Rattus norvegicus: one gene and its partner. The protein of the gene in region 2 interacts with the protein of the main gene of each other region in a pairwise test. Links are inferred from orthologs where the notes say so. Each region holds a gene or a part of one and is shown on either strand. Other genes may lie near its edges. The genes, in order: Nelfa and Prr22.

What was found.
Region 1: the proteins of Prr22 (region 2) and Nelfa interact in a two-hybrid assay, tested with the Homo sapiens proteins (2 studies listed by BioGRID). The two-hybrid records come from large-scale screens. The link is inferred for Rattus norvegicus from reciprocal best matches to the Homo sapiens genes PRR22 and NELFA.

What each region holds. Positions count from the first base shown.
Region 1 is NC_086032.1:81,053,833-81,057,641, reverse strand, and holds the end of Nelfa (negative elongation factor A), read right to left. Parts: coding exon 3,807-3,809; intron 3,720-3,806; coding exon 3,650-3,719; intron 3,213-3,649; coding exon 3,124-3,212; intron 2,381-3,123; coding exon 2,269-2,380; intron 1,454-2,268; coding exon 1,182-1,453; intron 1,034-1,181; coding exon 934-1,033; intron 821-933; coding exon 636-820; 3' UTR 96-635; downstream 1-95. UniProt on the Homo sapiens protein: Essential component of the NELF complex, a complex that negatively regulates the elongation of transcription by RNA polymerase II.
Region 2 is NC_086027.1:1,684,720-1,688,636, reverse strand, and holds Prr22 (proline-rich protein 22), read right to left. Parts: upstream 2,343-3,917; 5' UTR 2,288-2,342; coding exon 2,176-2,287; intron 2,092-2,175; coding exon 2,026-2,091; exon of another isoform or gene 1,734-2,025; coding exon of another isoform or gene 1,601-1,733; coding exon 525-1,600; 3' UTR 508-524; downstream 1-507. Other genes in the region: Dus3l (tRNA-dihydrouridine(47) synthase [NAD(P)(+)]-like), read right to left, coding at 2,886-2,958, 3,037-3,165, 3,259-3,447, 3,583-3,658, 3,795-3,891.

The DNA of each region.
Region 1 (3,809 bases), on a different chromosome or scaffold from region 2:
CCTGCCTGTCCTCCCCCAGGTTCTGACAGCCATATAGGGAAGGGTTTGGTCTCAGAGCAGGGAGTCAAGCCAGCCTTAAACACAGTTCTGTGGGCTTTCTTTAGAAAAACTAAACTTTAATGCTCAGGTCATTTTACAATGAAAATAGGAACTCAGACACAGGTTTGAAAAGTTTACAACTGTACAAAAGACATACAAATCCCTGGTAGGTAGTGGCATCAAGGCTGGTCATAGCCGCCCTCACACCCTAGACTGCCAGGTGTCACCTTTGGTCCCCTCAACCTCATGAGGAAGGGCATGCACAAGCAGAGAAAAAGAAAGCCCTCTTAGCCAGTACTATTTTAAGAAGAAGTAAAAAAGGTAAAAGTCTAACAGGCACTAAAATTATGAAGTAAATTTTGGTTTGCATTCAAAGCATAATATTGAATCCAAAAAAAGTATCTTAATCACACAAAAAACTAACTCATTACAATATAAAAAAATAAGCCTAAACTCCCCAGAGAACTGGCTGGGGCCCCAGAGCCTGTGGACAGCAGTGCTAGGTGGAACACATCCTTCCGGTATCTGCTCAGGAAACAGCAGAACCAGCAGAATTTGTCCTCTGGTGCGATGACGGTCAGCAGCAGAGACCGCACTTAGGACACATTGGTCATAGGCTTGTACTTCTTGAAGCGCGTCCACTGGCCTGTGGCATAGTTCATCTCGAACACCGTGTCCACTAGCATGGTGGTACTGCCCTGGCCGTCTGCCTTGGGCAGGTCCTCTGTGTGCTCGCTGAGCTTGATCTGGATCACATCCCCTTGCTCCGGGCATGGGTTTTCTGTAGGGAGAGGGACTGCTGGGCAGGTGTCTAGGGCCAAGGAACCCATTCCCCAATCCATGGGGCGGGGGGCGGGGTGGGGACACCTCCCAAGCCTAGGAGCACAGACGCACCTCGAGAGCCAGCCATGAAGCCCAGGATGAGGGCCTTCTCTGGCCGAGTGACCTTGTTTGCTGTCTTGAACATCTCCTGGGCAGCAAACATCTGTTCTCTCTGTGAAGGGAAGATGTGGGTGTCTGGGCTGCTGAGGCCCTACCCTCTACCACTGGCCCTGCTATACTCATCCCATAACCCCAGGGTTGCAAAAATGGCAAAGCTGTGCTACCCACTTAATGGCCTTGGGCCCTGCCTGGGGACCTACCGTGAGGGACAGGTTCTTCTTAGGTTGCTGCTGAACAGGGGCCGGGGCCTGGGTCTGTGGGGCCACCATGGCCACTGGGGGTGTCTGAGCAGTGGGAGTGACAGCTGGGGGAGCAGTAGGTGTCAGAGGTGAGGCAGGTGCTGCAGGTGTTGGGGTCGCTGGACTCAGGCCACTGTTATACATAGGTGCCCTTTGTTTAAACTGTGTTGGCAGTGTGGGACTTGGGGCGCTGGGTTCCTCAGGTGGCCGGCTGGCTTCCCGGGAGGGTGGAGCTGCAGGCAAAGCAGGTTTATTAAGAGCTGTCCAGGAAAGCGAGTCTTCATTCCTAATCTACTCATCCCAGACTGGCCCCCAGGCTGCCTGCCCCAGACACCATTTTCTGGAGAGGCAACAGGCTCAGCTCCAATCCCTTGCCCCAACAACTACCCCATATCCTCCTCCTGTCTTCTCCCATCACTGCTGCCCTTCACAGACAGGGAAGGAGTCCCGTGCACTACCCAGCAAAGCAAAGCTCATGTCCTCTGGCATTTCTAGACCCAGGGATTAGGTTGTCTAGGGCTCTGGTTAGCCCTTGGCCTATGACAGACATGTACTGGTACTGGTTTACAGGACCCTGGAAAGCAGCTTCCCCAAGCCTCAGCAAGGCTGCTGATCCTTACATGTCATGAAGAAAACTGACCGCCAACGTACAAAGCTGAGCCCAGTGGAGCCAACCCCTGAACTCTCGTGACCGACCTCTGCCCCTGAATCATCCCTCTGCAGTGTGCCTCATCTGGGAAGAGAAAACCCTTGGCTTCCACCATCCTCCCACCTACCACCCCAAGAGCAGGGTGCCAAAGTCTTGGCCTTTACTTTTTCATTCAAATCAGGACTTCTGGCTTATTTCTCGGCCAGGAGCTCTCCCTGCTCCCTGGGACCAAAAGACAATGGGACAGGTGCCTTAATGCAGAACCCTGTGTGAGCAAGGCTGCTACTTCCTGGGTGGCTTTGCTAGGCTCAGTCCAGGTGTCAAAGTGACCCTGTGACCCCAGGGCAAGTGCTTCTGTGGGCTGAAGGAAAACTGGTTAGAACACTGCCTGGTACTCACCTGGGGGAGTCTCAGAGCTGGGGATGTAGGATGAGGCAGGTACCACACTGGGTGTAGAGGGCAGGTAACTTGTGGAGGGCAGTGTTGGCTCACTGTTCAGAGACCCAAGTTTCTGGAAGGCAGAGACCATAGTTTCTCCAGGCAGTCAGTATACCTTCCTGGGAGTAGCCTGGACACTTTCAGTCAGCCATTGCCCATCAACAGAGCAAGAATGCAAATACTGCTGTCTCAGGGCAGGGACAGTGGCTTCTCTAGCCCATAAGCCCCTGATTTTAGTGATGCTGGACTTTTAACTTAAGCCATGGCCACCACCCTATGCTCTCAAACTGACATCTAGGGGAAAAAGCTTAGCAACGAAAAGGGTACTGCAAAGACAGTGGGCTCAGAGACCGTACCATGAAACGGCCACACTGCCTCCACACACAACCTGTGCAACTGTCTCCACACCCACCTCCACAGTCAGACCCTGGGAAAGAGCCGCTCTGCTGAAACACCCTTCCCACATGCATGCAGCTCCTGGTCTTCAGAGCAGGTGGGCGGCAAACAGGAACCATATGCACCGGACAGTGAGGCGCATGATATAACAGTGGTATGGACACCCCCAGGCAGTAATCCTAGTATGAGGAAGGTGTTTGTGCCAAACACGAGACTGGTGCCCAAGTCAGGCTCTGGCTCCCTCTGCCACTAACACACACATGCTCGCACATGCGCACACACCTGCATATATGTATGCACACACTTTTACAGAACATATCAGTATCAATCAGGACACAAGGGAGCACATTATTTTGGCTCTGTCAGCAGCTAGAAATGGTATAGAGCATGCCCACGGCTGCACTGCATGGAAAGTCCTACCTGTGTGGACACCAGGCCAGCAGCATAGTCAGGGGTGGCATTTTCAACAACCGTCTCTTCCTTGGTGGGCTTTTCTACCACTTCTGTGTCTGCCGATAAATGAAGAGAGCTGGTTAGTGGCTCTCTGACCCAGCCCCAGTTCAGAAGTCACAAGTGTTCTCTGTGAAAGCCAAATGTAAAATGGCATTGTGCACTTGGGTATCAGGGCAAAGAAATGATTCCTTGGATGGTGTTAAATGTAATCCTAGCAGTTGGAAAGCTTCAAGCTTGAGGCCAGGATGAACTACAGTGTACAGACCGTGTCTCAAGAAGCCACACCTCCCACTAAAAAAGAAAAAAAACCCCTGGGAAAAGTCCCATTACCATTGTGCTAAGATGGTGAGATAAGACACAGGCAGACTAGACCGGGAAGAGAAAGCACAAAGAAACCTCAAAGGACCCAGACACTATACTGGCAGAAACAACTACAGCACACTAGGCTGCAGTGTTGTCAGACCTCCCTCCAGATCTTCAATGCTTCACACACCTAAAGTCTTCCTCCTCCTCTTTGCCTCTCGGCCAGCACCAACTGTATTCAGCTCAGAAATATCCAGCAGCTGCCAAAATAAACACATGCCACACTTAATTACAGAGCAAAGAATCAACACTTGGCCTTGACAGGATTGTGAGAAGGGATGGCCCACCTT
Region 2 (3,917 bases):
CTGGAAAAGAAAACCCCACTTCTCAAGAGACCTCCCAACATGGCCAGTCTGAGGCAACTGCCTTTCTTCTTGAGACAGGCTCAGGGAGCTCAGGCTAGCCCTGAAATTCTGACTTTCTCCTACCTCCTCAGGGCTAGGGTTACAACCATGTACCACACTCGCTTTATATAGCACTGGGAAGGAGTCCAGGGTTTTGTGAATAGTGACTGAGCCCCACGCACTTTACCAATGAACCCCCAACCTTCTACCAGCTGAGCTGCAGCACCATATCTTCATTTCTTGTAGATGAGGCTGTACTTTGTGACCAAACTGGCCTCCAACCTCCTACCCAGGCAACCTAAATGTAGGGCTAACAGTTTAGTTTCAACCCTGATACCTGACAGTCCAATTCTGAGATTCCTGACTCAACTCTGAAGGCACGTGACTGGCACCACCCCACCCCCAGTCTCACCATGCAGTCGGCGGTCTTGCCTGGTCATGGTCACAGGACATGTGTCCACACATAGCTGAGAGATCAAATGGCTTTAATTGGGGGTGGCTCCTGGGTCCAGCCTGGGTCCTGTGGCAGTGGTGCCAGCAAGGCCAGTGGCCTGCCTGTGTCTACCGCTTGGTTTCCCTTTCTTGGTGGATGTGCTCGGTTTTTTCCCCGGTTGATGGGACCGCAGGCCAGGGGCCGCCGTGTCAGTGACAGGGGCCCCAAGATGGGGCAGCGGCTCATCCTCCAGGGCCTTGAAGCTGAAAACATAATCCACGTTGGCCACCGCGTCCAGAATCTCAGGGACACTGTAGTCAAAGGACAGCAGGTCATCTGGCAGGTGCAGGGAGCGGATGTCAGTTGGGAAGTCGTCCCCACCACCACCACTGTCCCGCAGTCCGGGGCCAGGACCCCTGTGCAAGGCCACCTCAGGTTCAGTGCCACCAGGGAGACAATCAAAAAGTTTCATGGCATCTTCTAGAAGGACCTTGTCTGGTAGGAAGAACGCACGAGCCACCTCGGGAGGCACGGTCTCACTTGAGCCCACTGGGGTGACCTCCTCCACCTTGGCCACCGTGGGCTCTCCAGGCCCAGGAGGGAACTGCAGACCCGGCCTGGCTGCACCACTACTCTGCAGCTCCCTGGGGGCCTCGGTGGGCCTCATGGTCACCTGGGGTCCTGGAAACTGGCTGGTCTGGCCACCGAGATGGCCATAGGGCCCAGGTGGCAGCGTGTGTGCTGTGGGGACTGTGATAAGCAAGGGAGATGGCTTAGTCTCTTTGGGGGTTGGCGGGGGTGCCAGGCCGTCTCTGAGCACCTCCATGAAGTTGAGGGGCCCTCCGTCCCGCATGAAGCCCAGAGCCTCAGGCATAGGCTCCTCTGGTGGAAGGAAATGTGTGAGGTACTGTGGCCCGCTGGGGGCCGGCTGGTAGTGGGGATAAAGCAGAGGTGGTGGCCCCGGGGTCTTGAGGTAGGACGGGGCCTCCAGCAGGTAGCCACCAGATAAGGCAGGACCCCCAGCCACTGCCACCTTGTACAGGGATGACTGGCCAAAGTCGGAGGTGGCCCACTCGATGCGGTAGATGCGGGGGTCGAAGAAGCAGCCGCAGGGAGCCATCTGGAAGCCTGTGGGTGGTGGACACCTGAGTGGGGCTCCATGGGGGAACCAGGCCATGGGGGTTGAGGGTCCCAAAGCCCAGGACATAGGACACAGCCTTGGCCTCTGAGGAGCCTTGAAAACTGGCTGTTTACCAGTCATCTGGGGACTCGTGGGGGGCAAGACACAGAGACTGTTGGGGTCCTCTCCTCTGATGCCTCTCAGGAAAACAACGACCTGAATTCGGGTGCCCAGGCCTCTCAGAAAGCCTTGCCTAGTGGCAGCCGCTGTCACCAAAGCAGGCTTCAGCCTGCTCTCCAGTGTTACTTCAAAACATGACACAGTTCAGCTATGGGGGTATCTGTCTGGGGTAGAGGGGACCCAGGGCAATTCTGGGGTCTCATCTTGGGTATGAAGCCTGTTCAGAGCGAGGCTCAAGGGTGCCGGCCGATACCTGCTGGAGGGGCTGGAAGCACTTCCTGGTCAGAGCCGGGGTTCTGATAGTGCAGGTTAGCATTGGCTGTGGACAAAGGTGCCTGGTAGGTGGGGCAGGGGCCCAGGCCCCATAGCCATCACACACCCCTGTCCACCACCACCATCATACCTACAGTGGGAAGGGGTTCTGAGCCACCTGGTACCTCAGGGCCCTCCAGGTTCTGCAGGCTGAAGCTTTCCTGGGGTATGGCTGGGGGATAGAGGGTTTTGGGATGCTGCATGGGTGAGACAGGCCACCCCGGGGGGGCCCGGGTGGCAGCAGAGGCACCTGGGGACAGAGTCCCGCTGGGTTCTGTTTGCACCGTGTTGCTAGGTGGAGGGTTCCAGTCCAGGGCAAGCCCATCACTTGGGTTCCGGAGGAGGGGGAGGGGGTGGGCAAGAGGCGGCCCTCTCCACCCGGAGCCAGGTCTCTGTTGCTGCCTCCATACAAGTCACCCAATTCAAAGTCCCAAGGACACTGCCCAACAAAACGGGACAGATTAGAGTCAGAAAACAGTGCAGACGGGGACCAGGCACCTGCCAAGGCCACCTCCTAGGAGAAGAGGAACAGAGGCCATTTTAGGTCACCTAAGAAAAAGCCAGTGTGATGGACGGTGTGCCTAGGATTCTAGGAGTTCAAGGCCAGCCCATATAAGATCTTATCTCAAAAAACCCAACAAGGGGCTGGGGATTTAGCTCAGTGGTAGAGCGCTTACCTAGGAAGCGCAAGGCCCTGGGTTCGGTCCCCAGCTCCAAAAAAAAAAAAACCAAAAAAAAAAAAAAAAAAACCCAACAAAATAAAAGAAATTCTACAAGAATAAAATTTATTGTCTCTGTTAGCTACTTGTAGGCATTGGCTTTGTGCTTGGGCAGGAAGACGAAGCCAGGTGGAACTGGTCCAAGCAGCATCTCACTGTGGGGACAAAAGTGACAGATCAGATCAGGCCTGGGCCTCACAGCATCAACCTGTAGAGCCCTGGCCAGTGCGTACCTGATTCGAATCCAGTCTGCAGCCTGCTGGCTGGCCATGAGTGTCTCCAGGTAGTCACGGCCTAAGTAGTAGGGTGGCCTTTCATTGATCCTCTGTGGCAGTCGTTCCAGCAGGCCCACGGGCACATACCTGTGGGCCAGGAGGGCAGAGGAAGCAATAAGGCTCGGTGAGGTCTGAGGCTACAATCTCTTACCTTGGCCATTTGCCTGGTTCAGTGCCCACCTGCAAAGAAAGGAGAGCCACTCAAGAAGGAAGCGCCGGGTCCGTTCCACACCCTGTGTGTCAGAGCCCCAGTGTTCCAGGCCATAGTGTGTGAAGTCTCTCAAGATGTCCAGGCGCTCAGAGGATGAGATGTCCCAGTGTCTCTGTTCTTTGATCTCAGTGAACAGCCAGGGCTTGAGCAAGGCGCCACTACAAGGGAGATGCTCACTGAGGACATGGTGCCTCCTAGCTCCAGTCACCTCAGCAGCCAGGCCTCGGCCTCACAGGGTCCCCAGGTGCAGAAAGTTCTAGCATTGCTGTCCCAGCCCATCTGGCGTCACTTACCGGGCAACCATGATCCCAGCAACCCCTGTCTGCATGGCACAGTTGGCGTCCTCAAACGAAAGGATGTCTCCATTTCCTGAGGAGACACAGTGGGGTCTTGACAGTGGCAGGCCCCATGGACATGAGGACACCATCAATCAGTCTTGAGATTTCCAAAGAATCCAGCATCCTCCCAGCTGAGAGATGTGGTCCCAGTGGCTCTGGGCACCTACCAAACAGGGGCATGGGGCTGGCCACCTTGGCACACTGTTCGATGTAGGGCCAGTCGGCCAGCCTGGTGTAGCGCTGTTCCCTGGAGCGGCCATGGAGCTGTGGGGGAGGGGTAGTAATGAGGG